Linked DNA regions of Mus musculus. The protein of the gene in region 1 interacts with the protein of each later gene in a pairwise test. Links are inferred from orthologs where the notes say so. Each region holds a gene or a part of one and is shown in the gene's direction. Other genes may lie near its edges. The genes, in order: Sdcbp, Drap1, Hoxa1, Cda, Zbtb8a, Gpatch11 and Srek1ip1.

Region 1 (4,148 bases):
AAGTAGCTCTCATAGTTTTTGTTTTTGTTTTTGTTTGTTTTTCTGAGACAGGGTTTCTTTGTGTAGCCCTGGCTGTCCTGGAACTCACTCTGTAGACCAGGCTGGCCTCGAACTCAGAAATCTGCCTGCTTCTGCCTCCCAAGTGCTGGGATTAAAGGCGTGCACCATTTTACAGGACAGAGGAAGTCATCAGTCAAGGCAAGCTTACAATACATAGGCGCTTACTTCAGAGAGGCAGGACAAGGCAGTGGGGGTGAGGTTCAGGGAACCTTTCTGTAAGACGCAAGGTGTTTTCTGGTGGCATTCTAAGCATTTGGATTGGTAGAAGCTAGTTGCCTGCTAATTCAATAGATTCTAAAGACCTGTTGTTTATTGTCACAAGATGTTAGTTTAGACACAGGGAAACAAGGAATGGCTGTTCTGGAGGGCCAGGATTTAGCCCAAGATATGGTGATCTTCCTCTGGACTTTCGACATTCCAACCTATTTATTTCCACAGCATGAAATTCTAATTAGGAGTTTTCCTTCACACAGATATTCATTCAACTAGGCTTGTAGCTAAGTATTTTATCTTGATATATTTTTAATATTCAATTCCAATTGCTCATTTCGTGCAGATAGGAAAGTAATTGACTCGTGTGTATATTAACCGTGTATCGTAGCAACCTTGCTGTAGCTGCTTATTCTGCTTACTGGTGTTTATTTTCTCTTTGTTTACATAGATAATCTTGCCAGCTGTGAATAGAACTGTATTTCTTCCTTTTCCATCCCGTAACTCGTTTTACAAGTTGTTCATCAGTTAAGCCATATTCTCCCTGGAGCATCACATTTTCATTCCTCTTGTCATGTAATGCTTATTGTTTTACCAGAGATAAAATTTCAAATGACTGTGATGATGAATAATTTAGATAGACAATTGCTTGCATGCCAATGATGTCATATACTGTTACTAGGAAATGGCCTCAGCCATGGACTGGTGTAGATATTGTCAGTTTCACATATTCATGTACACCCCAAACATCTGGATTCCCCTATCAGCACCATCAACTCTCAGAAAGCACATAGTCCGTGTTTTTAAGATTAGAATGTGGGTTTTATTTATTTCAGGGTGTGTGTGTGTGTGTGTGTGTGTGTTCAACACCGAGAGTAACAGTCAGCAGCCAATGAGCATTCGTTCTGGGAACAAAGGGTAGTAAAAGGCGGCGGGGGCTGCCAGGGAACCGAGGCTGGAGCCGGGAGTTGGGAGGATTTCGTAGAGGGAGGGTGGGCTGGTGGTCGCTCGGGCTGTGCCGCGTTGTCATGGGGACGGCGCGTGCGCCTGCGCCTGCGCGGCGGAAGGCGGGGGCGGTGATGACGCGCAGGGCGGGCCCCGAGGTTCGGTTGTGTGGAGCTGGAGCGGGCAGCAGGAGCGGCGCGGTCCTCGGGGCAGGTGAGTGGCCGCGGGGGTCCCGGGCCCCGGCAGGTCTCGGAGCTGGTCCGGCGCTCTGCTTCGGGCCCCGGGTGGGTCTGGCCGGGTCCTCGCCCGCACTCGGTGGCGTCCTCAGCGGCTTCCGGACGGCTGGCAGGGCGCGACGGACCGGAGGTGACAACGGTTAGCTGCGGAGCCGCTGCTCTGGAAGGGGGCAGGGAGGGCCAGGGCTTGCAGCGGGGTGTGTGCACCAGGAACGGTCTCCGGAGGTCTGGTGACTCAGATCTCCTTGGAGGATTTCCTTCTAATACGGGGCGGAGGGAGGCGTACAGACGTGGAAAGTTTCCAGTTTCAGAAGTGCAGTTATGGAGCCGTGGAGTGTGTGGGATCGTTTGTTGTATTCGTCCTATCTTCGACACATAGCTTTTTTTTTTCTTGTTTTGTTTTGTTTTCCATTAGGTAAATTACTTAGAAAGTGTAGAGTTTTAAATTCTTAACACGCACGCTTTACACCGAGAACAAATGTTTAAGAACGAAAGTTATATTGAAAATAGCTGCTGCCCTGGTCAATTGTCTTACTTTTGAAATGTCAAGGTGATATAGTTCAGCAGATTTGTACTCTCATTTTCCCGATGTGAGGATAGGACAAAGCAGAAAATATGCCTTTTCATCCTGTTAACAACTTAGGTCCTTAAACTGGTAGGTCTTAAGTGGTACGTAAGTATTACTGATCAGATGACTTGCACCAGGAAATAAGGAAATGGAATGACGAGAAGGCTCAGTAAACAATTACTCCATTATAGCCAGAGTCACTTAACTTTGGAAGCAGATTTTAGCTGTGCTGGATCTATTAAAGAGGATTTAAAAATCATGAACAAGAAAGGGCTGATTAAGATTTTGATGCACTTTTGAATTAAGCAGCCCTTTAAAATGAGCACGGCTCACCGACTTCCCCCCATTTTTGCCACTTTCTCTTAGGTAGTAAACATCCAGAGACTGTAAAAGACACCCACACACTTTAAAATACTTATACATTTAATAATCGTTCTCCTTGTACTTATTAATTGCCAAATGTTGCAACACTTACTGAAAATTTTAGCTTTTAAGGATGTAATTAGTAAACATATGGCTCAAAATTTTAAGCATTTAAAATGTAGAGCATACAGTATAAAACCTCCCCTGTGCTTGGCATAGGCTTTGGTTGTGCCCACCAGCCAGCCATATTTCCTCTGGCAGGCCAGTTCTTTTACGGTCTTAGGTACTGGTTCAGATAGTGCCTCTATGGTCAGACATGTAAATATGTTTCCCTCAGTTTAACACTGAGGAAGGCATGATTTTCTGCTGTATGTGTCTGTTTTTCCAGTTAGTAATAACATTTTGGATTATAACTTTCAGTTATGGTTAAGTTTGGCTGTGTTTTGGTCAGTGTCACTGTGACCAAGCTAGTAGGTATGATTGTCACCCTTTGCAAGTACATGTCAACTAAAGACATGAAGCGGTCTTACTGTGTCTGGAGTTATAATTGGAGCAGATGTCTAAATTGTAGGAGTTACTCCTCTTATACTTAACTTTCTTAAAATTGTAAAAGGCTTTGAACAACTATATTTAAAAAATGATAGTTTCTTTCCGCTAGCTTTTTAAAAAATGGTGTGTGTGTGTGTGTGTGTATGTGTGTGTGTACATACGTGGGAGTGGGATGGGGAGTGCAGGGAGTGGAGAGGCCAGAGTCAGCGTGCCTGTGGGGTTGAATTAGTGGTTTTGTCAGTTGCCCCAAGAATGGGTGCTGGGAACTGAACAGCATGTGTTCCTTGGAGCTCCTGCATACAGACCTGCCAGGAACCTAGGCCCCTGGGGCCCAGACTCACAACAACTCTACAGTTTTAACTTTGTCACCTTCTTAGTGTGCCCTACTAGTGTACATGGTCTGAACCTTCCTGGGCCCCACTCCTGACGGAGAATAAGCAGAACCTCCTTCCACGTTTCCGAGCTGAAGGCTCTCCCCCTGCAAGACTCCTGTCACATCACAACAGATCACAACAGCTCCAGCTCCTCTTACAGCTGTAATGAAGGGTAACCGCTTCCCCTCTATAGACCCTATACTAACCTGTGACACATATGGGCGCAGGTCTCAGTGGCTGATCATCAGAAGCCCCTGGGATGTTTGGTTTATTTATTTTTTTACAGTCCAGTCGTTGCCCCCACTCCTGGGAACTTTTTTTTTTTTATGCCTGAGGTAGTTTTTATCTGAAGATTAGCTAAAGTCAAATACTTCTCTTGGGACCTGACCTAAGTGAGTTCTCTTTCACTGTGTGTGTGTGTGTGTGTGTGTGTGTGGTGTGTTCATTCCATGTGGTCACAGAATTTCTGTTAGGATTGATTCAGGTATGTTCTTTGACACATTATATGAACTACAAGGATTGTCTTTTGTCCCTCTGGACAACCAAGGTCCTTATTATTTTATTTGAATTCAACACAACACTTTTTCTTATTTATGCTTTTAAATTATTTGTATTTAGTTGTCTGAAGTGAAAAGTTCCACAGTGGAACATTACCGGAAATTTTAAGAGTGATTTCAACGAAGGAAAACTAAGCCATTCCAAAGTATTTGGGTTTGATTATACATAGTTGAAATGGGCCACATATTTGACTTGCGCTAATTTCCCCAATTAGAATATGTGGTCCTATCTTTTAACCATTGTGAAGATTTCAACTATTATCTTTGTTCCAGCACATCATTGCTT
Region 2 (4,069 bases), on another chromosome or scaffold:
GGTCCAGCTTGAAGCCAGGTGACAGGTGAATCAGCCACTTGCCGGAGAGCACATGGTGGGTGATGGCCAGCTGGCGCAGGGTACCTGGTGTGATGGGTCGCCCACTGGTCTGCAGAGCCTCCCAGGCCGCCTGCAGCCCTTGTACATCCCCTGAGTTGGGGGTGTAACCCTGCCCATAGGCTGCAATCCAGCCCACAGGTTCAGAGTTGGGTGAACCTGGGTCCCCATAGCGAGTAACTTGAGATGGTGGGTACTTGGCCAACCAGGCATCCAGCTCTGTGGCAGGTGTGGTACGGGCATCAAATACCAGCCAGGGGTCCATATCGGCTGCCATGGCCTCTGCAGCCAGGTGCTCAGCAGTGAAGCCATCCTCCCGGCCACCTGGAGAGTCTTCCTCTTCCAGCTCCTCATTTGGTTCCATCCTGTTGTGAGGGAACTGAGTCAGAGGTTTGAGACAGTAAATAAAAAGTGCTGGGTCCTGGAGGGTGCCAGGCACTGCAGTAAACTGTGGCCCTGGGCAAGACATAATGTCTGTGCCTCAGTTGCTTCATCTTCACAATGGGTAACAACTGATCCTGTCTAGATTTGTCTCCAGAATAAGACGCCTGAGGTGGAGTAGCTATAGTTAGTACTACTTTCACTGCTTACAAACAAGGAAATTGAAACTCTTAAGAAAAGGGGCTTGCCCAAGGTCATGCCCGTAAAGAGCGCCAGAGCTTAAGTGTGAACTGGCACGGGGCTCGGCTACACCACCGGACTAGAGTCCTGCAAGGTAGCGCGGCGCTGCAATATAATGGACGTAGGCAAAACGCAGGGTCGCCAACCTCAGAGGATGGCTGTAGAGGGCCAGGCCTCCCCCGGTGAACGATTGGGGGCACCGTGAAACACCGAGGCTCTGAGCCCCAGAGAGGGCAGCGGCCCATCAGGGGGTCAATGGGTACCATCCAGACTCGAACCAGATAGGACCAGGCCTGCGCGAGGACCAGGCTCCAGCCCTACCACATCCGCCGCCATTAGTGCCCACAGCTTAAGGGTTGCCGTCCCTCTCGCCACCCCGCAGTCACCTCCGGCCTTCACTCCGTTCCGCGCCAACCCAACTTCGGGCCCGGCTCCGTTCCTGCCCGGGATCTGCTGCGCCGCCGCCGCCGCCGCCGCCACCCCCGCCGCGCCCCGCCCCTGCCACGGCCGCCGCCGCCGCCGCCATCTTAGGGTCCCGCCACCTCAACAACAACTTTATAGACAAACACAGTCACGGGGCGGGGCCAGAGGCGGAACCAGAAGGCTAGGGGCGGGGGCTCCAGGGGAAGGGGCGGGCAGCGTCCAGGGGCGGAGCCGGCGCGAGAATCCCGGGAGGTGCAGGTCTTCGGGAGGCGGAGCTAACGTTCGTACTTTAGCTTGGGGGGCGGGTGGGCGTGGCGGGCGAGCCCGGGGAAGGACGCGCACCGCCCCAGAGGATCCGAAGCCCAGCGCTCGAGTTTGGGGAGCTGCTTGTCTACGGGCGGCACTAGGACCCTGCGGGAAGTGGTGTAGGCGGAGTAAACGGCACCAGGACCCGGGGAGGGTGGGGGGGGGGACCGCGGCGGGCCGGCGGCGGACAGGCCCGGGGCCGGGAGGCTGCGGGCGGCGGCGCTGGGCCCGGCGCAACGAGAGGCCCCGAGATGCCAAGCAAGAAGAAGAAGTATAACGCGCGGTTTCCGCCGGTGAGCACGTGGCCCGGATGGGCCCCGGCAGGCAGGGCTCCCGGGAGGCTTGGGCCCAGGTCCTGCTGGTGGGGGGGGCGGGTGCCTTTAGGTGTTCACGGCCTGACGCCCCGCCCCTTCCATGCCCTCCTGACTTAGCGCCCCCCGCCCTCTTCTCCTTCTCCCGGGATACCCCCGGTTCCCTCTGTCCCCCGTGTTAGGGACGCAAGAGACGAGCTCTGTCCTCTTCCTTTCGGCAGGCGCGGATCAAAAAGATCATGCAGACGGACGAAGAGATTGGGAAGGTGGCGGCAGCTGTGCCTGTCATCATCTGTATCCTACTAGGGGCCGGTTGGGCTGAGGGGCGTGGGGCGGGACTGCGGCACTCCCCTTTTTGGATTCTCCTTGACGTCTTCAGCCCGGGCCCTTGAGCTCTTCCTGGAGTCCCTGTTGAAGAAGGCTTGCCAGGTGACCCAGTCTCGAAATGCCAAAACCATGACCACGTCCCACCTGTGAGTGGCCGCCGAGCTGGGAGGGGCTTTTGAGGAGGCAGAGTTCCGACAGGGGGAGTGGTGCAAGGCCCAGGGAGGCCAGCTTTGTGGATTTGGACTGATGCAGGAGAGATTAGGTGTTTCAGGTGCAGGGAATACAACCAGATCCGAGCCACCGGCCCTCCCAGGAGGCCTGGTGGAAGTAGGGGTGTTTTTAACGTTCCACTGTACTGACACGAAGAAGTTGTTTGTATCCTTCCCTAAGTGTTTTGGGGGCCCCATTTGAACCCCTTCCTTTCCCACTTCTTTAGGAAGCAGTGCATTGAACTCGAGCAGCAGTTTGACTTCTTGAAAGACTTGGTGGCATCAGTGCCTGACATGCAGGGGGATGGGGAGGACAACCACGTGGATGGGGACAAGGGTCCTCGAAGGTGGGTAGCCAAGACCCGGTATACAGGTGGGGAAGGCCAAGGCCACAAGGTTGGGGGTGGCTGGGGGATGAACCAGGAGGAGAGAGTCCTCGTGCAGATGGACTGTACCTTCCCGAAGGGGCCGGAAACCGGGCAGCAGCGGCAGGAAGAACGGAGGCACGGGAAGCAAAGGCAAAGACAAGAAGCTGTCCGGGACAGACTCTGAGCAGGAGGTGAGTGAGGCTGATGGGTGATGGCCTCAGCCTTGTCTGCTGCCTCTTGTTCCTCCATCTCCATTCCTCTCCCAGGGTCTGGGCTCCCCAGAGATGGGCCCGGGCCCTCTCATTAACCCTGACCCCTTCCGTGCTCTCAGGATGAGTCTGAGGATACAGATACTGATGGGGAAGAAGAGACACCACAGCTTCCACCCCAAGCCAGTCACCCTCCTGCCCACTTTCAGAGGTGAGCACCCCAGGAGCACCAGAAAGGGGCACGCCAAACTCCCCATAGCCAGTTAGGTTTGCTTCCCTGGCCACTTGATGGTGGCGGCTGACTTAGGGAATGGGAGGGGACATTAGACACAAGACATTGTTCTGAGAAGGTCTTGTCTCCACGGTAGTCAGGGAGACAGTCTAAAGAGTGGTCCTCTCTGGCACCTTCCCTCCTGGGGGGACGACCACATCTGCCTCTGCCTCTGGAGGAGGGGGTGGGGCCTGTGGGCTGGGCACAGCATAGTGGCAAGCCTGATTTTCTCCATTTTGTCGCAGCCCTCCAACTCCCTTCATACCCTTCACATCTCCCCTGCCTTTGCCACCAGCACCCCCCGGCCCCTCAGCAGCCGATGCAGAGGATGAAGAGGATTATGACTCCTAGCGCCCTGTGCCCCTGTACCCCAGCCATGCTCTCTTCTAGTTAGTATTAATTGCTTTGGGGAGAGGAGAAAGGTGGGATTGTTCTTAAATTTATTAAAAAAAAAAAAAAAAAAGGATTTTGGTTTCTTTTCATCCTGTGGCTTTGTGGCTGTATTCTTATTGCCCACCCACCTACTTCCCCACATGAGGGGCAGCAGGGATGGTGTGGGGGCAGCCAGTGATTGAGCAAAAACGGGGAGTCTGACAGGAGTCTGGTGAAGGGGCACCGAAGAAAGGGGTGTGGTTTAGAGACTGGAAGCACCAAGGGATGAGCTCTCATCGTGCGGGACCTTGAGCAGCCTTCTTCCCCTCCCTGGCCTGCTGAGGAGGGACAGATGGAGTCAGGACTGAGACTGGGCCTTGAAAACTACAGTGCTCTGCAGCGCCAAGCAGTCTGCCTACTGTGAATATGAGCAGCCTGGGCAGCTTGTGTGCCAAAGGCAAGCGGTACATCTTCAGGGAGCAGCGGTGCTGAGTGGGGCAGGAGGCAGAGGCCATGTGGGGTTCCCGACGTCTGTAAGACCCAGAGTCATCTAAGTCATCTGTTGCCAAGCTCGCTGACTTCTTCCTGATGGAGG
Region 3 (4,157 bases), on another chromosome or scaffold:
TGATGGGAAACAGGACCCCTGTCCTGGGATGATGCTCACATCTGCACGTGTCTCTCTGGGGAGTGACCTGCAGGTTCACACAAGCCCGTTGGAAAGGGTCCCATCCACTCAGTCATCTGTCCCTCCCACCTGCCGGTCCTCAACACCCCCCATGCCCCAGTCCACACAGGCAATAGGGGATGGTGGGAAGGGGGGGCTCTTCCACTCCTAACTTGCCTCTCCTGGAAGAGAGAAACTCGACGGGGGAGGTCTGCATACTTTTTAGGAGTTGCCTGTTATCTGCCCTTCTGAGGCCTACCCTAGAGTGAGCATGCTCCTGGGTCTCTAAGAGTTGGCAGATGGCCTGCAGCTCAGGCTCGGCCCTCACGCCAGTCAGCCACGTCTGCTGGCGTCAACAATCTCCTTTGCCTTCTACTCCTTAAACTCCAGTAGCAGAGTTGCCCCGATTTTGCAGGGCTACCAAGAGCAAAGCGACAGAGAAGGAGAGAGGGCAGAGAAGAGAGTGGACACCCGGCCTTTCCCAGAGAGCTGGGTTCGTAGCCCCCCCCACCCCCACCCCCACCCCCGAATCCCGGGACCCTGGGGTCGAATTACAGAAGCTCCCATTGCCATGCTATTGGCCGGCAGGAATCAGGGAAGAGGGCTCTAAGACCCTTTGGATGAGGACAGAAGTTTCTTTTCTTGCTTTGGTCCCCAGCACATTCACCATGGTTCCTCCCAGTCAATCCTCTGCGCACGTCCCTCTACATTCCGAGGCTGGCGAGCCAGTGACGCAACCTCGCCCTAGGCGCCGGGATTCCGGGCTCAGGTCTCTTGCAGGGGTTGGGTAGTGGCGGCCGCCCCGAGCTGAGGGCGTGGTGTCTGTTGGATTCCCACCCTTCCCACCCCGCGTGCTCCCAGCTCCGCCAGGGTCCTTGCGACCACGCAGAGATTTTCGGCCCACAAGATGCCCGCCACAAGAGAGCCAGGAGGCCTCATCCCCTCTCACCTCTTGCCAGTTCAGCTTTCTGGGCTGGGTGGGGAAGGGGCCGCGGAGGGGGCCTCCCATCCCCCCACATCTGGTGGCGGAGGCGCGCAAAGCCGGGCGCGCGCAGAAGGCAGTCTCGACTCCCTTTGGTCCCAGTGCTCCAAGTCAGCTCCGGGAGCGGCCGCTGCTACCGCCGCGGCCCGGGCTGCCTGGGGGGGCGAGCGCGCGTCACCTACACTGAGGAGCGCCGGGGATTTAAATGCCACTGAAACGGTGATCCATCACGGCCGCAGCCGGTAAACTTTCGCAGGCGGCTCAGCCATTGGCTGGTAGAGTCACGTGTCCTCCCCTCGAGCCCTCCGCCTGCCCGCCCCGCCTCTTGCGCACTGTACATTCATATCATTTTTCTTCTCTGGTCCTATGGAGGAAGTGAGAAAGTTGGCACGGTCACCCAGGGCTTCGCAGGATCCAATCACTCAGTGACAGATGGACAATGCAAGAATGAACTCCTTTCTGGAATACCCCATCCTTGGCAGTGGCGACTCTGGGACCTGCTCGGCGCGAGCTTACCCCTCTGACCATGGGATTACAACTTTCCAATCCTGCGCGGTCAGTGCCAACAGCTGCGGCGGCGACGACCGCTTCCTAGTGGGCAGGGGGGTGCAGATCAGCTCGCCCCACCACCACCACCACCACCACCACCATCACCACCCCCAGACGGCTACTTACCAGACTTCTGGAAACCTTGGGATTTCTTATTCCCACTCGAGTTGTGGTCCAAGCTATGGCGCGCAGAACTTCAGTGCGCCTTATGGCCCCTATGGATTAAATCAGGAAGCAGACGTAAGTGGTGGGTACCCCCCGTGCGCTCCCGCTGTTTACTCTGGAAACCTCTCGACTCCCATGGTCCAGCATCACCACCACCACCAGGGTTATGCTGGGGGCACAGTGGGCTCGCCCCAGTACATTCACCACTCATATGGACAAGAGCAGCAGACTCTGGCCCTGGCCACGTATAATAACTCCTTATCCCCTCTCCACGCCAGCCACCAAGAAGCCTGTCGTTCCCCTGCTTCAGAGACGTCTTCTCCAGCGCAGACCTTTGACTGGATGAAAGTTAAAAGAAACCCTCCCAAAACAGGTAAGTCCTGCCGGCTGACAGACAAATGCTGTTCGATTTTTGAAAGGGGCTGGCACACCTAGTTTCCTAGGAAAATGAATGATTTTTAAAAGATTGGTTCTTGTTTATGTCTAATGTCATCTAGAGTTGTAGTGAGTGGTGTAGGGTGCCCAGGTGTGCAGAGGCAAAAGCGTTTCACAGGGGCTGAGGTTTAAATGGTCTATAGTTAGATAGTGTGCGGGGAGTGGGAGGTGGTGATGGTGGTGATGGTGGTGATGGTGATGTCCTGTTAATATCTACAAGGCTCCATTAATCACGAGCCTGATCACACTAATGGTTGACTTCAGGTTAACACTGCTTACACATCGTCACTGGCGCTTCCCGATAGGGTTTGTGCTCGCTGAGTAGTTAACCGAATATTGCCTCAAGCTTGGGGCAATCTGGATAAAGGTTTAAGATTTTTTTTTTAATCTTTTCTCTCTTCCTCCCCTACCCTAGGGAAAGTTGGAGAGTACGGCTACGTGGGTCAACCCAACGCAGTGCGCACCAATTTCACCACCAAGCAGCTCACAGAGCTGGAGAAGGAGTTCCACTTCAACAAGTACCTTACACGAGCGCGCAGGGTGGAGATTGCCGCGTCCCTACAGCTCAATGAGACCCAGGTGAAGATCTGGTTCCAGAATCGCCGCATGAAGCAGAAGAAGCGTGAGAAGGAGGGGCTCCTGCCCATCTCCCCTGCCACTCCTCCTGGCAGCGATGAGAAAACGGAAGAATCATCTGAGAAATCTAGCCCCTCGCCCAGTGCCCCTTCTCCGGCATCGTCTACCTCAGACACTCTGACTACCTCCCACTGAGGCTACTCCAGCCCAACTCTGCAGCCCAGGCTTCTCCCTGGGCTGGGATTTCTTACCCAAAGCACATTCTTAGCTTATCTTCCTTTCTTTACAGACTCTCTCTTCCTTTCTCGTCCCATCTGGGGAGCTCCTGGCCAAGATAAGGTATTTCCAGAGAATTCTGGAGCCTTGGTTGGAAGTTAACTCCTTCATCCACATCGGGTGTCCACATCAATTGCTGATGGCTCCCAACATCCTTTCCTTCACTGTTGTGAGATTTTTTTCTCCCCACAACCTATGATTCCTTTTAGATGTCGGCTGGAGAACAGTTAGTTCCCTTTGCCATCAGACATTTGCAGGAAGGAGGCATCTCTCCTTTTATCTATGTATTGTTCTTCTCCACCTAGCCCTTAAGTAGGACATAGAGGAGAGAGAGTGTCCAAAGACTCATGAAGAAGAGATGCACTGTGTTTACACAATTAATTCACCCCCTAACTTAGCTGGTTTCATGTGTGTGAGTTTGCTGGTTGTAAATGCTTTCCCGTCAGAGATTTATCTTTATACACATTTTATAGAAATATGTAGGTCACTAAATCAAACAGGGTGGACAAATTCTCAAAACTGGTACAGTTCATGTGTGATTATGGGCGAAAGAAGAAAACCTCTTTCATTCAAACAGAGTCAGATGCCTCAGAAGTTGGCCTCAATTGGTTCTTTCAGAGTTAAGAAGGCCTGCCAAGCACTTTGCCTGTGCCAGGTCTTCCCAAACTCTAACCAATTCTTCCTGCTTCTCTGGCCACCCTGCATTTAAAAATCATGCTGGATCATTTGTAACCCAAAGGTATTCATTCTTTCAGTCACCCTTTCCTTCCACACTGTCTTGTATCATGGCTGGATCCAGTGTATTTCCAGCTAATTGTTAATGTGATGGATGGCACAATGAATGTATATTTTGTGTGATTCGTGACTAGTCTTCTGCATGTCGCACAATGTTCTGATGTCCCTGAAATATCACACTGAGTTCTATCAGTTATTCTTTGTGAGCCTATGATAGTCTCCATTTACTGTACAATCATGAACAGCTCTGAGATCCTGGAGTGATGTGGTCCAGAGCAGAGTTTACGGGTCTTAAGATGTCTGTAATAAAAGTATTCAAGTTTTAGGTATGCCTAAGCATCTTGTGTATTTGGCTGGACTACAGTGGTTGCTTACTACTAAGTTGGCCCATTTCACATGG
Region 4 (2,964 bases), about 130 Mb from region 1:
TAAACATGAAAATTCACCACCCTTGAAACCTTAATTCTGAAAAATCCCAAAGATTGATAGTGTCTGGTAACCGTGTCTGAGAGTGATTCAGACAGACACGTGGAAGAACAGGAGGCGTGGACCAGCCTCGGCTGGCAGCCCACACATCAGTCACGATGCCACGGCCTCTGAGAACTGGGCTCCGACTAGGCACCAGGGTCTGTGAATCTCACCATGCCTGCCAGGAAGAAGTCGGGTCTGTTGACTTCCTCTCTGTCACCGACTTAACTCCCCACCTACCCACCTCGCTGGTGGATAGGAAAGGGCTCCTATCACTAAAACACGTGGTGGGTGAAGACAGAGAGCCCCAGAGGACCCAGATAGGGCATGGGAGAAAGTTCTGGAGACATGCTCATCTCTGCTGATGTATTAGTTAGTTACCTTCCCACTGCTGTGATGAGACACCATGACCAAAGCAGTTGAAGTTTACTTGGGGCTAATGGTTCCAGAAGGTTGGGGTCCATAATGCAGGGACGGCAGATGAGAGACATGCTGGCTGGAGCTGGAAGCTGGAAGCTCACATCTGGAAACTCCCTCACATCTGGAACAGTGAGCAGGAAACAGAGAGAGTGCTGGAAACCATGGATTTTGAAACCTCGGAGCCTGCTTCCAGCGGCTCTTCCTCCAGCACACCCATATTCCCCAACCCTCCCCAAACAGGTTGGCCAACTGGGGACCAAGAATTCCATTGCTTTCAAACCACCACAGCTGATTGATAGCACTAAGTCTGTTTCTCCAATAGTGAAAGGAATGTAATGACAGCCACCACCTCCAGGGGGCGATAATGCTATAATGTCAACATAGTGTGTTGAGTGTCCTGAAAGAGACAAAAATTCCTTCTTGGAGGTACAAAGGGGAACCTGTAGAGGGCAGCGGGTGTTGGCTGTCATTTGCCATTGCAGAAGGAAGCTTAGCTCTGGGGCATAGACTTTGAAAAAAGATTTAATTTTTAATTATGTCTGTGCCAAGATGTGCATTTTAAACACAGTTGCCCACGAAGGCCAGAGCATCAGATCTTCGTGGAGCTGGAGTTAGAGGAAATCGTGGGCTTCCCAGTGTAGGGGTTGGAGATAAACTCGGCTCCTCTGCAAGAATTCTGAGTGCTCTTAACTGCCGAGCCATCTCTTAACTGCCGAGCCATCTCTGCAGCCCAAGGCACAGATATTTCAACCGGTGCTAGGAAGCGATTTCAGTGGTTAAACTCTTGCATATTTAACCCTCGAGGACCAGAGTTTGCATCCCTAGAAACCCAGGTGATCTGGGCAGATGCCTGCAATTCCAGACTTGGAAGGCGGAGACAGGGGATCCCCACAGCAAAGTGGCTGGCTGGACTAGTGATATGGCCGAGCTCTGGGTTTGATAGAGAGACGCTGCCTCTGTGAATAAGGCAGAGGAGCCATGAAGGATGATTCGGGACCCAACCCTTGGGCTTCCACATGCATGTTTACCCATATGCGCCCCCCCTCACATGCATACAAACACGTGTATACCACACATACATGAAAACAGAGAGAAGGGTTTTTTGTTTTTGTTTTTTTGTTTTTTTCGAGACAGGGTTTCTCTGTGTAGCCTTGGTTGTCCTGGAACTCACTTTGTAGACCAGGCTGGCCTCGAACTCAGAGATCCGCCTGCCTCTGCCTCCCAAGTGCTGGAATTAAAGGCGTGCACCACCACGCCTGGCAAAGGTATTATTTTTACAAAGCTCCTGGGAGCATCCTCCAAGGGGATGCTCGTGGCCCATTGACAACAGGCCATGCACGGTGATGTTGGCCAATGCTTTTCCACTGAGCTCTCCCCCAGGCTCTGTGAGCCAGGTACAACTATTGTTACTCCCATTTGACAGGTAATGGAAACTAAGGCACAAAGAAAATAGTAGAGTCACATTCGAACCCGTACCTTCCATCTCCCTCAGTCCCACGGCCTCCCTCACACAACTTTGCCCTCTCTTCCAGTTTGGCACCGACTGGGCCGTGTACATGACCAAGCCGGATGGCACATTCGTAGTCAGGACGGTCCAGGAGCTGCTGCCGGCCTCGTTTGGACCTGAAGACCTGCAGAAGATTCAGTGAAGGTTGAAGAATAGAATGTCTGCTGAATGTGCAAGCCCTACCTAAGGAACGGCTCTTGGAAGACTTCATAATGATGCTGTCTCTGGCTGGGCCTTGGGGACACTTGCCACATGGGTCCCAAATGGCTGGGCAAGGGTGACCTTGATTCACACACCACAGCCTCCCCTTGAGTGATGGAAGGTGCCACTCACCTAGGCCAAAGCCCACATCCTCTTGGGGACTCAGAGCACTCCTCTCCTTCCACTCCCAAAGACACGGGTATTCCAGACCCGGTCTGCCTCCCTACCAGCCTTCTTAGGCTCTGTCGTGTGACTTTTCAGATTATAAATGCCACAGCACGTGCTGTTTGAGAAGAACGTGTTTTTGTTCTTAGTCTGTGTATACAGTTCTCAGGGGTGGTTTGTCTCACGGGGCAGGCAGTCTTAGTTGCTTTCTTCTGGCAGAGGATGTGGGAGCTTCCCAGGTTGCCTCTCTAAGTGGCGTCTGAGAGCCGAAGCTCCTTGCCTCTGCGTTCTTGGACCGGAGGCCCTTAGGCAGGGTTTGATTACAAGAGCCCATTCACTATAGCTTGGACATGGGATGTGCCTCCAAGGTCCACGGACTGGACCGAGTGGGAGGAAGCTAGGTCACTGGGGATGTGTCCCTGAAGGATATGGAGGCTTCCAGGCTGTACCTCCTCTTCATCACTTCCCAGCTATGAGGTGAGCTGGTCGTGACCACACACTCACACAGAGATGTGCGCTTAGACCGCCAGAGAGGCTCAAAGTTAATGGTGCCTCAGACCAGACCCTCCAAGACCACGAGCCCAGGTAAACCTTTCCTCTTGAGCTGGTTCTCACGGGTCTTTGTTACAGGA
Region 5 (3,960 bases), about 120 Mb from region 1:
TAGCTGGGGTGCCTAGTTAACATGTCAAAGCTGACCTGGCCACCAGGTTCTCCCAGCATCCCTCAGTCCAATACCTGTTACAGGGTCCTCTAGGCTGGCATATCCGGCCCCCTAGCTTGAATCCTCCAGTCCAGGGGGCTGAGCTATTCTTCCCTATATAATCCAACCATTTTGGCTCCCTACCCTCTTTGTAATTTGGGTCTCCTGCTGTACTTGGTTCTGCTGCTCTCTCTCCTCCCTCCCCCACCCCACATCACAGGGCACAGCTCAGTTCACTCTGTACTCTCCCAGATGTTCCTGCCTCTGGCTGTGCTCTCCCACATATCTATAATAAACTTTCTCCTCCACTATACCTAGGACCAGGCATGTCCCTTTCCTTTTTATTTCTCCTTTTTTTTTTTTTTTCATTCAGAAATGACTGTATTGTATTCTCAGAGAGAATGATGTTCGAATACATAGTTACTTAGTGAGGAGATCGGAGAAATAGGACCCTGATGGGCTTGACTGAGGCTTGGGAGAGGAACGCCTCAAAATATTAAACGCATGCTTTGAGACTTTGAATCTTCTCCCCCATTCCGCATTACTTGACAATCAGCGTGAAGAAGTAGAAAACTAATTTAGTTTGTGGAATTTAAGCAGTATGAAAATTCAGCGGTTTACTATTTTAGGAAATGTATCACCTGATATTTGTGTGCCATAAATATTAGGGTCACGTCAGAAGAGAAACTTGATTTTACGACCAATTTTTATATTTGAAAACACGAAACACTGTTTTGTACTAGTTTTATATAAAGAATCACGGCCTCTTAATCTCAGCCCCTCCGGGCTTGCCTCTTCAAAGGGCTTGATGGGGACCTACAGAGGTTTCTAAAAGGCTATAACTGAAATTAAGTGCTTCGTCAAAGGGCGATTTTGTGGAACTCTCTCCCATTTTACGTCGCTAAACTTAAGTACAATAATGTCACATGTATACAGTATTTGTGGGCACGCCTAAGTCCCTCCCTCTCTCCTTGAACCAATATCTCCACATATTAGAAATCCAGCCCTTCTGCCCTCCGGAGGCGCCTTTCCCAACGTAAAGTACAATTTTAAAATTTAAGCTCCCGACTAAAAGAATGATCCCCAATCAACTGCTGGGGAACCTGGGCGCCCTAGTGCCTGCGGAGGGTGCAGTCGGGCGTGGGCACGGACAGGGGGAGTGGGCGAAGCTGCTGGTTGGTGCCTGAAATCTGTGCGTTGCCCCTTTAATTGTGTCCTCAGCCCTCGGGCGTTTCTGTCCAACGCCCACGTCAGCAAATACCTTTTGTTTCTCCCACGTTGGGGCTACTTGTTTTAGGGCGCAAAGCCTCGGCTTCGGAAAGGGGCTGCTTCCCCTACCCGGAACCGGGAATCGCTCCGCAGCGCGCGCGCGCGCGAGCGAGCGAGCGAGCGAGCGGCTAGAGCCCCGCGGTAAGTGGCTGCACGGGCGCGGGCGGGAGGAGGGCGGCCCGGGCGTCGGGGCTGCGGGCCGGGCCCAGAGCCTGGCGGAGGGCGGCGGAGCCGCCGGGGTGCGCCCCGGGACTGCAACCCCAGCCGGTGCGCCGGGCGACGCAGGGGGCACCCGGCGCCATTTGCAGCCGGGGGCGCAGAGCGGCGGCTCCGAGGGTCGGCGACGGCCACAAAGGAGACGCGGGCGGCGGCGGCGGCCCCGGGCGCGGCTGCGGGACAATGGCTGCACCGTCGCCGCCCGCGCCCGCCCCGCCGCCAGCCTTGGCCCGGCCCGGGGAAAGGCGGGAAGGCGCCCGAGCCTCCTGACGGCCGCGGCGGCGAGGCGGCGCCACGGGGCCGGGCGTGTCTGCAGACGTCGGGCGCGGGGCGCGGGGCGCTGCAGCCCGGCGGTCTCACTCCGCCCTCCACTCTCTGGTTTTCCATCACGACGCGACAGTTCTGGGCTTAGAACCGAGGGCAGAAATATGGAGCCCCAGCTGGCCCCGCGGCAGAATGTCCCTGGCATCTCCCACCTGGAGACACTGTCGGCTTTAGTCCCTTCGCGCTCTGGCGCGCTTACTCGCCCTTGACCGTGCGGTTATTCGTAATCCACGTCTTTGCGAGACGTGTTTGGAATAGGATTCACACCTAGCGGGCACCCAACCACACACGCCGCCAACACCTAGAAGTCTTTCTATTTGCAGAACTTTAGTAAATGGAGTGGTTTCACTTTGACGAAATATTGCACTTAATTTCTTATGAGACGGCTACGGGTTCCGGCTGTTTATTCTACCTAGCAAAGGGGAAAGGGGGAAAAATAAAACGCTAATGGTTAGGGAGTCTCATCCCTAGGCAGGGAGCTGAGACGTGGCAGCCCCCCAAGGCGCCCTGTTCTTGCAGCGTCCCGGAACAGTCTCCAAAGTACCAAAACCTTCGCTGATTTTATCACTTAAATCGCACTTTTATTTACCTATTTATTCTTTGTTTTAAAGCGGACTCAGGCTAGACTTGAAAATTTGATCTTACCTCCACCTCGGGAGGGCTGGGATGCACTAGGCAAATTTTTGGCACAATTATATACTTTTTAATATTCAAAGACGTTAATATAAGTTTTAAAACTCCTCTTTTAAAAAGCTATTTTATATATCTTTTTTTTGAAGGCACTGTTTCATGTACCCCAGGCTAGCCCTAAATCTTGGACCTCTGATTCTCTTGCAGCCCCTACCAAATGCTGGGATTACAGGCATAGATCACCACACCTGATATTATCCTGTACTTGAATTGAACCCATGCATGTCACATAGGCACTCTACCACTAAACCCAGCCCTCTCCAAACCTTAAATGGCTCCTTCACATCCTACTAAAAAAATAAAAAAATCCAAAACCCCCATGGTGTGTGTGTGTGTGTGTGTGTGGTGTGTGTGGTGTGTGTGCGTGTGGCGTGTGTGTGTGTGTGTGTGTGTGTGTGTGTGTGTGTGTGTGTGTATTTTGAACCCGGGCCTTGCATGGGCTAGGTAAATGTTACCATTGAGATACATCCCCAGGCCCCTTATTTTAAATTTTAATTTTATTATGAGATGAGGGTTTTCTCAGGGTTGCCTTGGTCTTACTTCTTCCTGCCCCGCCTCCCAAGACCCTGGGGTTAGCCGACATTACTGGCACACCACAGTGACCTCCTCTCCCCACCCATCCCTCCTCCATCTGTTCCTGTCCACCTCACGGCCTTTGCACCTGCTGTTTGGTTTGCCTGGAGTAGTTTCAAAGATACACATTCTTTCCTGCTATGGACACCAATCACTCAGATGTCATCTTCTCGGTGAGGCCTTTCCAAGTATAGTTTCAAAACTCGAGTCTCTCTCTATTTTTTTTTTTTTTTAGATTTATATATATATGTGTGTGTGTGTGTGTGTTGCCTGCCTTTGTGCCAGTATACCAAGTGCTTGCCTGGTGCCAGATGAGGGTGTTGAATCCCCTTACATGGATGTTAGAGATGGCTGTGAACCTCCATGTGGGTGCTGGGGATTGAACCCAGATCCTTGGAGAAACAGCCAGTGCTTTTAACTGCTGAGCCATCTACCCAGTCCCTCTTAAGTGTTCTAACATTTCATTCTAAGACTTTCCTATCTTAGACCCTGTAGACCATATGTGCTACTAAGATTACCGAAGGTCAGGTCACATAGAAGGAACAGATATTACTGGGCCGTGGCGTTGCATACCTTTAATCCCAGCAGAAGCAGGCAGATCTCTCTGTTTTGGAAGCCAGCCTGGTCAACAGATCAAGTTCCGGGCCAACCAGGGCTACATACACAGGGAATCCCTGTCTAGAAGAAAACAACAGAACAGATATTTACTTCTTGCACTGGTAGATGCTGGGAAGCACAAGATTATGGTGCCCTGTGTGGCTTCTTTCTGCTTCCCGGAAGGCACCTCTTCGTGGCATACATAATGAGGGTAAATACAGTGCTGTGCCTTCATTAGTAAAATGGGTAGAA
Region 6 (4,300 bases), on another chromosome or scaffold:
TGAAAGACTCATAACATTTTCAAAACACAATGCCTTCAATTTTCTTTATATCAACCTATGGTGAGGTGGGCAATGCTTACCTTGTTGGCAGCAACTAGGACTTTATCAAGAAATCTCAACCATTCAAAGATGAACACGGGTCTCTTTGCCTCCGTGATCTGAGCCAAAGCTTCCTCATTTAGCAATAAACTGTGAGCTAGCTCCATTATTGATGTTCTTAATTCACACCTTAAATGAACAGATTCGTTTTTTAAAAAAAGAGTAAAATATATTCTAAGGAATTTTTAATTTATGTGTAGGAGTGTTTTGCCCAAATGTATGTATACACATACATACATACATACATACACACACACACACACACACACACACACACACACACACACACATATATATATATACAGGGTGTTGGCTCCCCCTAGAACTGGAGTTACAGATGGTTGTGAGTCATCTTGTGGGCGCTGGAAATCAAACCCAGGTCCTTGTCAAAAGCAACAAGTATTCTTAATCACGGATTCCTTTCTCCAGCCCTTACATGTAAGGATTTCTTAAATATTAAATGTCAAGTTTCATAAATGCAACCACTAAGCTAGGGAAAGAAAGCGTGGTTTCATTTCTCATTAGAGAACTAACTTTGAAAGGACAATGATTTAAAAGAAAGAAAGAAAGAAAGAAAGAAAGAAAGAAAGAAAGAAAGAAAGAAAGAAAGAAAGAAAGAAAGAAAGAAAGAAAGAAAGAAAGAAAGAAAGAAAGAAAGAAAAAACTGGCGATAAGAATGGAATGAAAGGAAAATGTAAATACTGCAAAAAAGGCACTATTCCGGGGCGGTTGTTTCCCTGTTAGAACACAGGCTATTAACTCATTCTACCCTGAGAACCCCGAAGCACCGAGCTCAGGCGTCTGGGGAGCTTTCTCCGCCACCCGTCCCTCGCCACCGGGACCCAGAAGAGTGACCGTAGGGTTCTGATCGGCGGAGGCGGGCCCCACGGGGACACTGCGGCAGGGGCGCCCGGGACAACCCCTCGCCCCGGGAATGCAGTGCTCCGGGTCTGGATGCACCGGGCCGCTCCGAAGACCCCGACAACTGAGAGTCTGCTGGAAACGCAAACCGGGGTCCCCGGGCCGCCCTGGGATGTCAGCCTCCCGTCGTAGGAGTCCTCGAGCTGTCAACCCCGAGGCTGAGGATCCCCGGCCTCAAAACTCGAATTCCCTCCTCAGCCCTCGGAAAATGTCCTGGGACCCAGGGATGTCACAGCCTGCAGGCTCTGACAGCGCGCGAGACCGCCTCACCTCCTGGTCTAGTCCGAGCCGAGCAGCCAAGCTCCGCTCTGCCGAGGGACCCGGATGCCCCGCCTCCCAAACTCCGGCCCTCAGGAAGCCGGGAGACGACGCATGCGCGAGACACAGGTCCTGCGGACCGGCCCGCCCCCACGTCCTCTTAGCCCCGCCCACCCCAAGTTTCGAAGCGAATCGGCTGTCGGGGACGAGTGGGATGTTTGTGGGTCCTGCGCCAATTGCACGGCGCATGCGCAGCGCGACCTCCGCGGAGCTGGTTCCGGGCAGTAAAGCTCCGGCTTCAGGGTGTGCGGGCGCTCAGGAGAATGACAGAGGTCGGTGCAAGTTGGCTGTGACTGCCTATCACAGCGTCAGCTACGCCCCATCCGTAAGTGGTCGTTTTGGTGGGAGGGTGCAGGAGGGAGGAGAGCGGGAGGGAAGAAAGAGCCTGCGATGCCCGAGGCACCCACAGGAGAGTTAGCCCAGCTCTGTGTGTTCTGTAGCTCTGCTTCAAACTCGGTGCTCAATACTGAAATACGCTAGCAGCACCTATAATCGTCCTGTTGAGAAAGTGGTTGCTCCATTATTTCGGAACAGGCAAAGCGCTTCACCTAAACTTGCTCTGGCTCTTTGACACACACCACCTCCAACCATCAACAGATGCTGCGTGATTTACCCCCTCAGACCCAGAATCCTGACCACTTCGCTGTTGTGACTCTTAAGTGAGGGGTCAGGCCACCAGCATCCCTACCTGGGTTATCTATCGACTTGTGGAGTTTATTCTTATATTTGAAGGAAGTGGATAATGCTAGTGTATGTTGTCCTCATAGGAGGGGAACCTTCACATTTTAAGACCCAATTCCTTATTCTTTTCTCTCTCTCTCTTTTTCTTTCTTTCCTTCTTCCTTCCTTTTTTTTTTTTTTAAGATTTATTTATTATATAGCGTTCTGCCTGCATGTATGCCTACAGGCCCAAAGAGGGCACCAGATTTCATTATAAATAGTTATAAAGCCACCATGTAATTGAACTCAGGACCTCTAGAAGAGCAGACAGTTCTTTTAACCTCTGAGCCATCTCTCCAGCCCCCTTATTCCACTTCCTAACATAATGTCCTCACTATTGGTAATTAACTTCCTCAAACCGTATCATTTAATGAATCTACAGTGCCCCCAGCTGTGAAGTTTCAGTGTGATTTTATGTGAAAATTATATGTAAAAGATGGAATAACTATAAAAGGCAGAGCTTTAAAAGTAACATGTAATCCCTTGTACTTTTGTAAGTGTGTGTGTGTGTATTTTTACACAGGTAGATCATACTGTCCTCGAACTGCTGGGTGCTGAAATCACACCAGAGGGCCACCATGTCTGTGGAGTTAAATGCTTCCCTTAAAAATAATCTAGTTTGAATTAGAGATTTAGCTCAGTTATAAAGCACATTCCTTGCTTGTATGAGGCCCTGGATTCAACACCCATCTCAGCAATTACAACCTCGTTCCGTTTCAGGAACAAGATCACCAAGACTTGTATTCTTTGTGGTTGTGAACCAATTATTTAGCCACATTGAGCCTCAGTTTTCCCTGCTGGAAAGTGGAACTAATACTTCTTATCTACTGGGCTGCTCCTAAGCTAGGTGAGTACTAGGAGACTGCAGGTCAGTCTGATTCATCTCGGGCTTGACTAATCTTCTAAGAGGCGCACTTAGTTGGCTCACTCATTTGTGCCTCGGATCCTCCCACGTGGCCATCTCTACAGAGCTTCTTGAGTGTTCTCATATATGACCACTGACTTCACTCAATTCATTCATACTACCAACTGTAGAGTGCACTGTATAGTGTGACCAAAAAGTCACCCTAAGCCAGGCGCAGGTGGCACTCAAGAGGCAGAGGCAGGTGGATCTCTATGAGTTCAAGGTCAGCCTGATCTACAAAGTGAGCTCCAGGATAGCTGAGACTACATAGAGAAACCCTGCCTCCAGAAAAGCCAAAAACAAAGTCACTCTAATATATCCTATTAAAAACTATTACACAAACTGCTCAACAAAATTGACTAGGAGCAGGTCATCTTGGAGAATACTACACGATTATATGAGGGTTTGTCTCATAACTGGAGAATCACAGGTTCAAGGCTAGCGTGGACTACATGGTGAGTTCCATGCCAGCCTGAGGTGGCGGGTGACCTGATCTCAGGGAGAGAGAAAAAAAAAAAAAAAGGATAAAACAAGAGTATTTGTCTCTGGTGGTCTGGTGACTTTGATTAGAATGGCTTACAGTTGGCTCATAGTACTTTTTGGAAAGCATTGTTGGAGGAGGTGTGTCAGTTTAGAAACCTTTGAGGTTTCTAAAACCCACACCATTCCCAGTTGGCCTTTGTTGGGTTGGCAGCCTCTCTGTTGCTAAGACATAGGGTGCTAAGATTCTCCATCTTTGCATACAAGGGAGCATAGTGAAGCATTGCCACTCTCCATGGTCGATTTCTGTATTGATAAACTAAAATTATGACGAGGATGATCGCTCTCACCCTTGGTCCTACTTGATTTGCAGGTAGTGTTGTCAGATGAAGGAGAGCATGACAGAAGAGGAGGACTATATGTCGGATTCCTTCATTAATGTTCAGTGAGTAAATGGGTATATCTAATTTGATGGTGTCTGGATATCCAAAAGACACAAATAGAATGAAATAAGGACATTGGTTGGGTAGAGGTGGTGGTCATGTCTGTTTGTTTAAAGCTAGGGGTACATGGAGCTTAGGCAGTTCTCCAGCTCACTGGGCAGCTCATCCTCCTGCCTCTACCTCCTAAGGGCTGAGACTACAGCAAAGGCTATGTGCCACAATGTCTGGGTTTTGCAGTTTTGGGGATCACACTCAGGGCTTTATGCATGCTAGACAAGTACCCTGACAACGGGACTACTGCCCTAGCACAGGATATTTTTTAATATATATTTTAATTTTTAAACTTTAGTTCATCATTGTGGGAAGGGCACTGCACCCCTGTGGAGATTGGAAAACAACTTTTGGGAGCCACTTC
Region 7 (4,245 bases), on another chromosome or scaffold:
ATCTTCAACTCTATAGTGTTTGCATTCTATATAGGAAAGAAACCAAGGTAAGATACTGTTAAATACTGGGTAATTGCTGAGACCCAGGGCATCACTGAGATCTGCTATTTGATAGGCTTCTTTGTTACATTTGAACAGGTAAAATAGCAAACTAGAGAAATGAAGCGTGAAGGTTCTGCATTGTGGAATGGTCAGTCTATTTCATCTCTACACGCATTTATTCATTAAAATTAATATTGTCCTCTAGAAATATATAGCTCAGCATGAAATCTATCAGGGAATCTACTCCCATTCCTATGAAATAACATTCCTCACTCCTCCCCTGCTTCTAACTGACAATTATCTCAAAAGATATCTCCTCCAAGATGTTTTCCCCATCATTTCCTGTTTTCCCTCCATCACTGTCATGGCAATATAATCTCTTCTTCAATACCTCCCAAGCAAAGGCAGGTGTGTTCATGCACGTCTGTAATCCTGAGATAGGGAATTAGTATATATATACGTGTGTGTGTGTGTGTGTGTGTGTGTGTGTGTGTGTGTGTCTATAATACAGACACACATATAAAGGTAGAATACCAACCTTTGTATCATCAGCACCTAGTAGAGTGCGTGGTGCCAAAGAGGCCTTCAATAATGACTGTAGAGAATGCACGATCTCCAAGTTAAACAACAAGCAAAAGTGTACAATCTTGAGATAAGTCTTAAAAACAATAGACACTAGAAGGCGCTCACGTGAGTTGGATCAAGGAAGTTAAGGGGTCAGAAGACTAGCGAATAGGGAGGTTGCCCAAGAACTCTTTCAAAAATATGCTGAGACACGTCACCGTAAAGAATATAAATGCAACACTGGCCATATGCAGGGTGTGGAGAAGAGTCCTTTGGTCTTTCCACCTCTAAAATCCCCGATAGCTGCCCCTCCCTGCCCGCCCCCAGTCACCGTGTCCAGGAGGTAAGGCTCTCACCTTCCCATTAGTGGGCGGCTCCTGGATGTAGATGTTACTCATCTTGCTCAGTGCTCAGGACTCCGCTCCTTAGTGTGGCCGCAAGCGAATGGCGGGTCTCCGGCGAGGCCCACCTGTTAGCACACAATTCTTTAACCTGAGTATTTGGGGGAAAACTTCACTCGGTCAGAGTCGGACAAGACAGCCGTACTAATCACTAGTTACTCCCCAAACTAGCCCATCATGGACGCCGCCATGTTGCTCCCGGACCGGAGCACCGCTAACCCCGGGAGGGGGGACTTCCCTGTCCTTCAGGAAACTAGAAAAGACTATAGGACCTCTACAACTTTAGAGAATTTGTAGCGAGGTTTATAATACGAGCTAAAGGGCCAATCCGTAAATCCCGGGGCTGCGTCCAGGTCAGGCGATTGCAGATAGCACTCACCTCCCGAAGCGGGCCGAAATGGTTCCGACCGCGTGTGCTCCGCGGTAGGACACCCCTGGAAACTGCATCCACAGCCACTTAGTTCCGCCAACCCTAGATGTGCATCGGGCCTTCCCCTGCCCGGTGAAGTTGTAGTGGCCGGGTGGGAGAGATCCCTTTGGGAATGCGCTGTCCTCGCAACGGACCTGAACCTAACGTGATCTCGAAAGCCCAGGACTCCGACGATCCCACTCACCTTGCATCATGGCAGTCCCAGGTGAAGGTCAACCGCAGGGCTCTCTCACTCCAGAGGAATGAGACGAGCAGGGAAGCCCAGAGCACGGGGGTGGGTGGCAGCGAGCACTTGGGGAATCAGGCGAAGGCCTAAAAATTTAGATTTGGTCGGCTTACATGAAAAAGCTTATACTACAAGTTCAAAGCGGGGTGAGAAAGATAGGGAAAGATCATCTCTGTCATTCTTGGACAAGCCCAAACTGCACAGGATTAGAGGGAAAGTGTATTGTAAGAGGGACAAGGGACTTGGTGACAATGAGAACTGTAGGCCTAAGGGGACAACTTGCCCAGAAGACTGTAACTTTCACACGATTTCAAAATAAAATTCGAAATGTGAGCATTTTGCCGAATCCAGGTGGCTATACACATTATACTGAAAGTCGCCAAGAAGAGCACCTGAGGCTTGTTCTAGCACTTCCAGCCTGTAATTTCTATGTGGCTGCAGGCCCGCTGCTGTGCCCTTCCGGGCCTCAGTTTCCCTATCAGTTTCAAGACAGTGCTTTCTCGAATTAGATCTAAGATTCTTTGTAGGTTCCACTTTTGTGTTCAGAGGTTTCTAACCTAGAAACGGCAAACTGAGCTCCGGGGATGTTTTTGTTGCTCCAGTTTACTGGGGAGCCGCTAAGAACTTCCCCAAGCCGACTTTGTCAGAATGTGTTTCTGTAAAACCCTATTATCAAGCAGGTGTTTTTAAGAGATATACCCGCCTCGCATCTCGGAGATTCACAGTGCATAGTACTGTAGGAAAGACCCTCAAACTATTTGTGAAGCCCCAACTTTGCTTAACACTGCCCCTTCCCGCTACTGTTTGACCCCTGTCTTTGTTCCGTGGCAGCCTTTTCTGAACTTTATTCTAGAGATTACTGTTGCGGGGTGGGGCTGCTTCCTAACTTCTGCAGAGGAGCACTCCAGGAGCTGTGAAAAGAGAGGTGACTACATTTATTGAGTGTGTGGCAGTCAGCATGGTAGAAACCCTTGCTCTCCTAGAATTCGGGGGGGGGGGGATTTACAGAAAGTAGAACTAACGCTGGGGCGAGCAAAAACAGGACACCTAACAGGATCCAGAGTGTACAAAAGGATGTTCCAGATGAAAGCTAAAGAAAGGTGAGAGTGCAGGGGACCTGCAGGGAGAGGGAGCAGATACAGAAAGGAAGAGGAACTAAAAGAGGGAATGAAAGAGCCCTGCCGTGGCTAACGATCAGCTAACCTGAGAGAAAAGAGAAATTAACTAAAGCGATAATTCAAAGTATCTAACTTTTACTATGTAACCCATGTATCTGATACTATGTCAAACATTGTATATTTTTTTCCTCCCTTTAATAACCACTGCTATGAGATAGCTGTTGTTAGTCTCACTTCACAGACGGAGAAATCAAGTAACTTGCCTATTACAAAAGCTAATGGAGATTATCCAAGCTCTTGGCCACCATGAATGCAAATGCATTCTCCAACATATCCATGGCACAATAGATTCCCTGCGACTGAAGGACCTTACAAGCAAAAACAAAGTGTTAGGATGTTAATAGACAGTAGGAAAACACTTAACAGCTTTAAGAAAAATTACATTTTAGGATACTGTGACCTAGAGGAGAGTTAGTTAATGTAGAGGCGTTGTTGGTACTTAAGGGTGATTCTGGTCAGTTATGTTACCATTGAGGATGTAGACTCATTAAGAGAGAAGCAGCTAATTTGGAGGGGGGGGTGGTGGTGGTGGTAGAATCACTAAGAATTAATTGCTTTGGTGTGGGTAGGAAATGAGATTAACCTGGTTTTTGACATTAGCTCATTTGAGGAGGCCTCATAACTGGGAAGACATCCCTCAAGATCAGAGTTGAGAGATGGTGGTAAGGTCAGTCTGGAACTTGTGTTGAGGTCTATCTGGCCCGGGATGGAAATGGCCCATAGATAGCATGGGAATAAACAGAATACTGGACAAGAAGTCAGAGTCAAAACCAACACTTATTATAGGACTAAAAGGATAAAGTGTGAGGGACTGTGCAGACACAGTGGGTAATGTGTGAAGGGAAGACCTGACTGGAGTCTAGGAATAATAGCATGTAAAGGAAAGAGCTGAGAACCACGAGCCTGCACAGTACTTGCCTAAGCATTTCGTGAGGCTCTGGTGACCTCTGCATCACACAGTTGCACCCAGAGTTGGCCTGCTGTCACTGCCCATCATTTGGGCAGGCGCTGGAGCACTGGTAGAGTATGAACACACCAGGAGACACACCGTAAAACTTTAGGAATGATAATTTGCTCCTGAAGAAAAGGGACAAAAAGTGATTTTTCTTCTAGCTTTGTTTGAGATGCTCTTAAACTTGAGACCAGTGTTAAAAAAAATGTTAACCTTTCAATTCAAAATAATGTTTCAAAGCATAATAATAAATTGTGTCATTAAGCCAGATGGAATGACTTACATAAACTGCTTAAACCCACCCCCCCCAAAAAAATCAAGATAATAGGCTTGACAGGTGGCACAAACGCACAATGCAACTGCTTTAGAAAGTGCAGATACAGAAGATGTTAAGATAATTTCTTGGATGATCGATCCAGATGCTGCACGGAAGGAAAATGGGGCTCCATTGA

What was found.
Region 2: the proteins of Sdcbp (region 1) and Drap1 interact in binary tests that used the Homo sapiens proteins (3 or more experiments, as listed by UniProt). The two-hybrid records come from large-scale screens. The link is inferred for Mus musculus from reciprocal best matches to the Homo sapiens genes SDCBP and DRAP1.
Region 3: the proteins of Sdcbp (region 1) and Hoxa1 interact in binary tests that used the Homo sapiens proteins (3 or more experiments, as listed by UniProt). The two-hybrid records come from large-scale screens. The link is inferred for Mus musculus from reciprocal best matches to the Homo sapiens genes SDCBP and HOXA1.
Region 4: the proteins of Sdcbp (region 1) and Cda interact in binary tests that used the Homo sapiens proteins (3 or more experiments, as listed by UniProt). The two-hybrid records come from large-scale screens. The link is inferred for Mus musculus from reciprocal best matches to the Homo sapiens genes SDCBP and CDA.
Region 5: the proteins of Sdcbp (region 1) and Zbtb8a interact in binary tests that used the Homo sapiens proteins (3 or more experiments, as listed by UniProt). The two-hybrid records come from large-scale screens. The link is inferred for Mus musculus from reciprocal best matches to the Homo sapiens genes SDCBP and ZBTB8A.
Region 6: the proteins of Sdcbp (region 1) and Gpatch11 interact in binary tests that used the Homo sapiens proteins (3 or more experiments, as listed by UniProt). The two-hybrid records come from large-scale screens. The link is inferred for Mus musculus from reciprocal best matches to the Homo sapiens genes SDCBP and GPATCH11.
Region 7: the proteins of Sdcbp (region 1) and Srek1ip1 interact in binary tests that used the Homo sapiens proteins (3 or more experiments, as listed by UniProt). The two-hybrid records come from large-scale screens. The link is inferred for Mus musculus from reciprocal best matches to the Homo sapiens genes SDCBP and SREK1IP1.

The regions. Positions count from the first base shown.
Region 1 is NC_000070.6:6,364,332-6,368,479, forward strand, and holds the start of Sdcbp (syntenin-1), read left to right. Parts: upstream 1-1,348; 5' UTR 1,349-1,428; exon of another isoform or gene 1,429-1,590; intron 1,591-4,148. UniProt on the Homo sapiens protein: Multifunctional adapter protein involved in diverse array of functions including trafficking of transmembrane proteins, neuro and immunomodulation, exosome biogenesis, and tumorigenesis.
Region 2 is NC_000085.6:5,422,304-5,426,372, reverse strand, and holds Drap1 (dr1-associated corepressor), read left to right. Parts: upstream 1-1,393; 5' UTR 1,394-1,658; coding exon 1,659-1,700; intron 1,701-1,939; coding exon 1,940-2,012; intron 2,013-2,097; coding exon 2,098-2,191; intron 2,192-2,481; coding exon 2,482-2,601; intron 2,602-2,698; coding exon of another isoform or gene 2,699-2,719; coding exon 2,720-2,813; intron 2,814-2,953; coding exon 2,954-3,042; intron 3,043-3,347; coding exon 3,348-3,453; 3' UTR 3,454-3,569; downstream 3,570-4,069. Other genes in the region: AI837181 (UPF0696 protein C11orf68 homolog), read right to left, coding at 1-422, 1,065-1,204. UniProt on the Homo sapiens protein: The association of the DR1/DRAP1 heterodimer with TBP results in a functional repression of both activated and basal transcription of class II genes.
Region 3 is NC_000072.6:52,155,518-52,159,674, reverse strand, and holds the start of Hoxa1 (homeobox protein Hox-A1), read left to right. Parts: upstream 1-1,357; 5' UTR 1,358-1,453; coding exon 1,454-2,108; intron 2,109-2,585; coding exon 2,586-2,941; 3' UTR 2,942-4,157. UniProt on the Homo sapiens protein: Sequence-specific transcription factor. Regulates multiple developmental processes including brainstem, inner and outer ear, abducens nerve and cardiovascular development and morphogenesis as well as cognition and behavior.
Region 4 is NC_000070.6:138,338,028-138,340,991, reverse strand, and holds the end of Cda (cytidine deaminase), read left to right. Parts: intron 1-1,991; coding exon 1,992-2,108; 3' UTR 2,109-2,464; downstream 2,465-2,964. UniProt on the Homo sapiens protein: This enzyme scavenges exogenous and endogenous cytidine and 2'-deoxycytidine for UMP synthesis.
Region 5 is NC_000070.6:129,375,229-129,379,188, reverse strand, and holds the start of Zbtb8a (zinc finger and BTB domain-containing protein 8A), read left to right. Parts: upstream 1-1,160; 5' UTR 1,161-1,449; intron 1,450-3,960. UniProt on the Homo sapiens protein: May be involved in transcriptional regulation.
Region 6 is NC_000083.6:78,834,016-78,838,315, forward strand, and holds the start of Gpatch11 (G patch domain-containing protein 11), read left to right. Parts: upstream 1-1,500; 5' UTR 1,501-1,663; intron 1,664-2,778; 5' UTR 2,779-2,905; intron 2,906-3,815; 5' UTR 3,816-3,828; coding exon 3,829-3,887; intron 3,888-4,234; exon of another isoform or gene 4,235-4,300. Other genes in the region: Heatr5b (HEAT repeat-containing protein 5B), read right to left, coding at 81-206.
Region 7 is NC_000079.6:104,815,725-104,819,969, forward strand, and holds the start of Srek1ip1 (protein SREK1IP1), read left to right. Parts: upstream 1-1,445; 5' UTR 1,446-1,629; coding exon 1,630-1,642; intron 1,643-4,245. Other genes in the region: spliceosome-associated protein CWC27 homolog, read right to left, coding at 963-1,004. UniProt on the Homo sapiens protein: Possible splicing regulator involved in the control of cellular survival.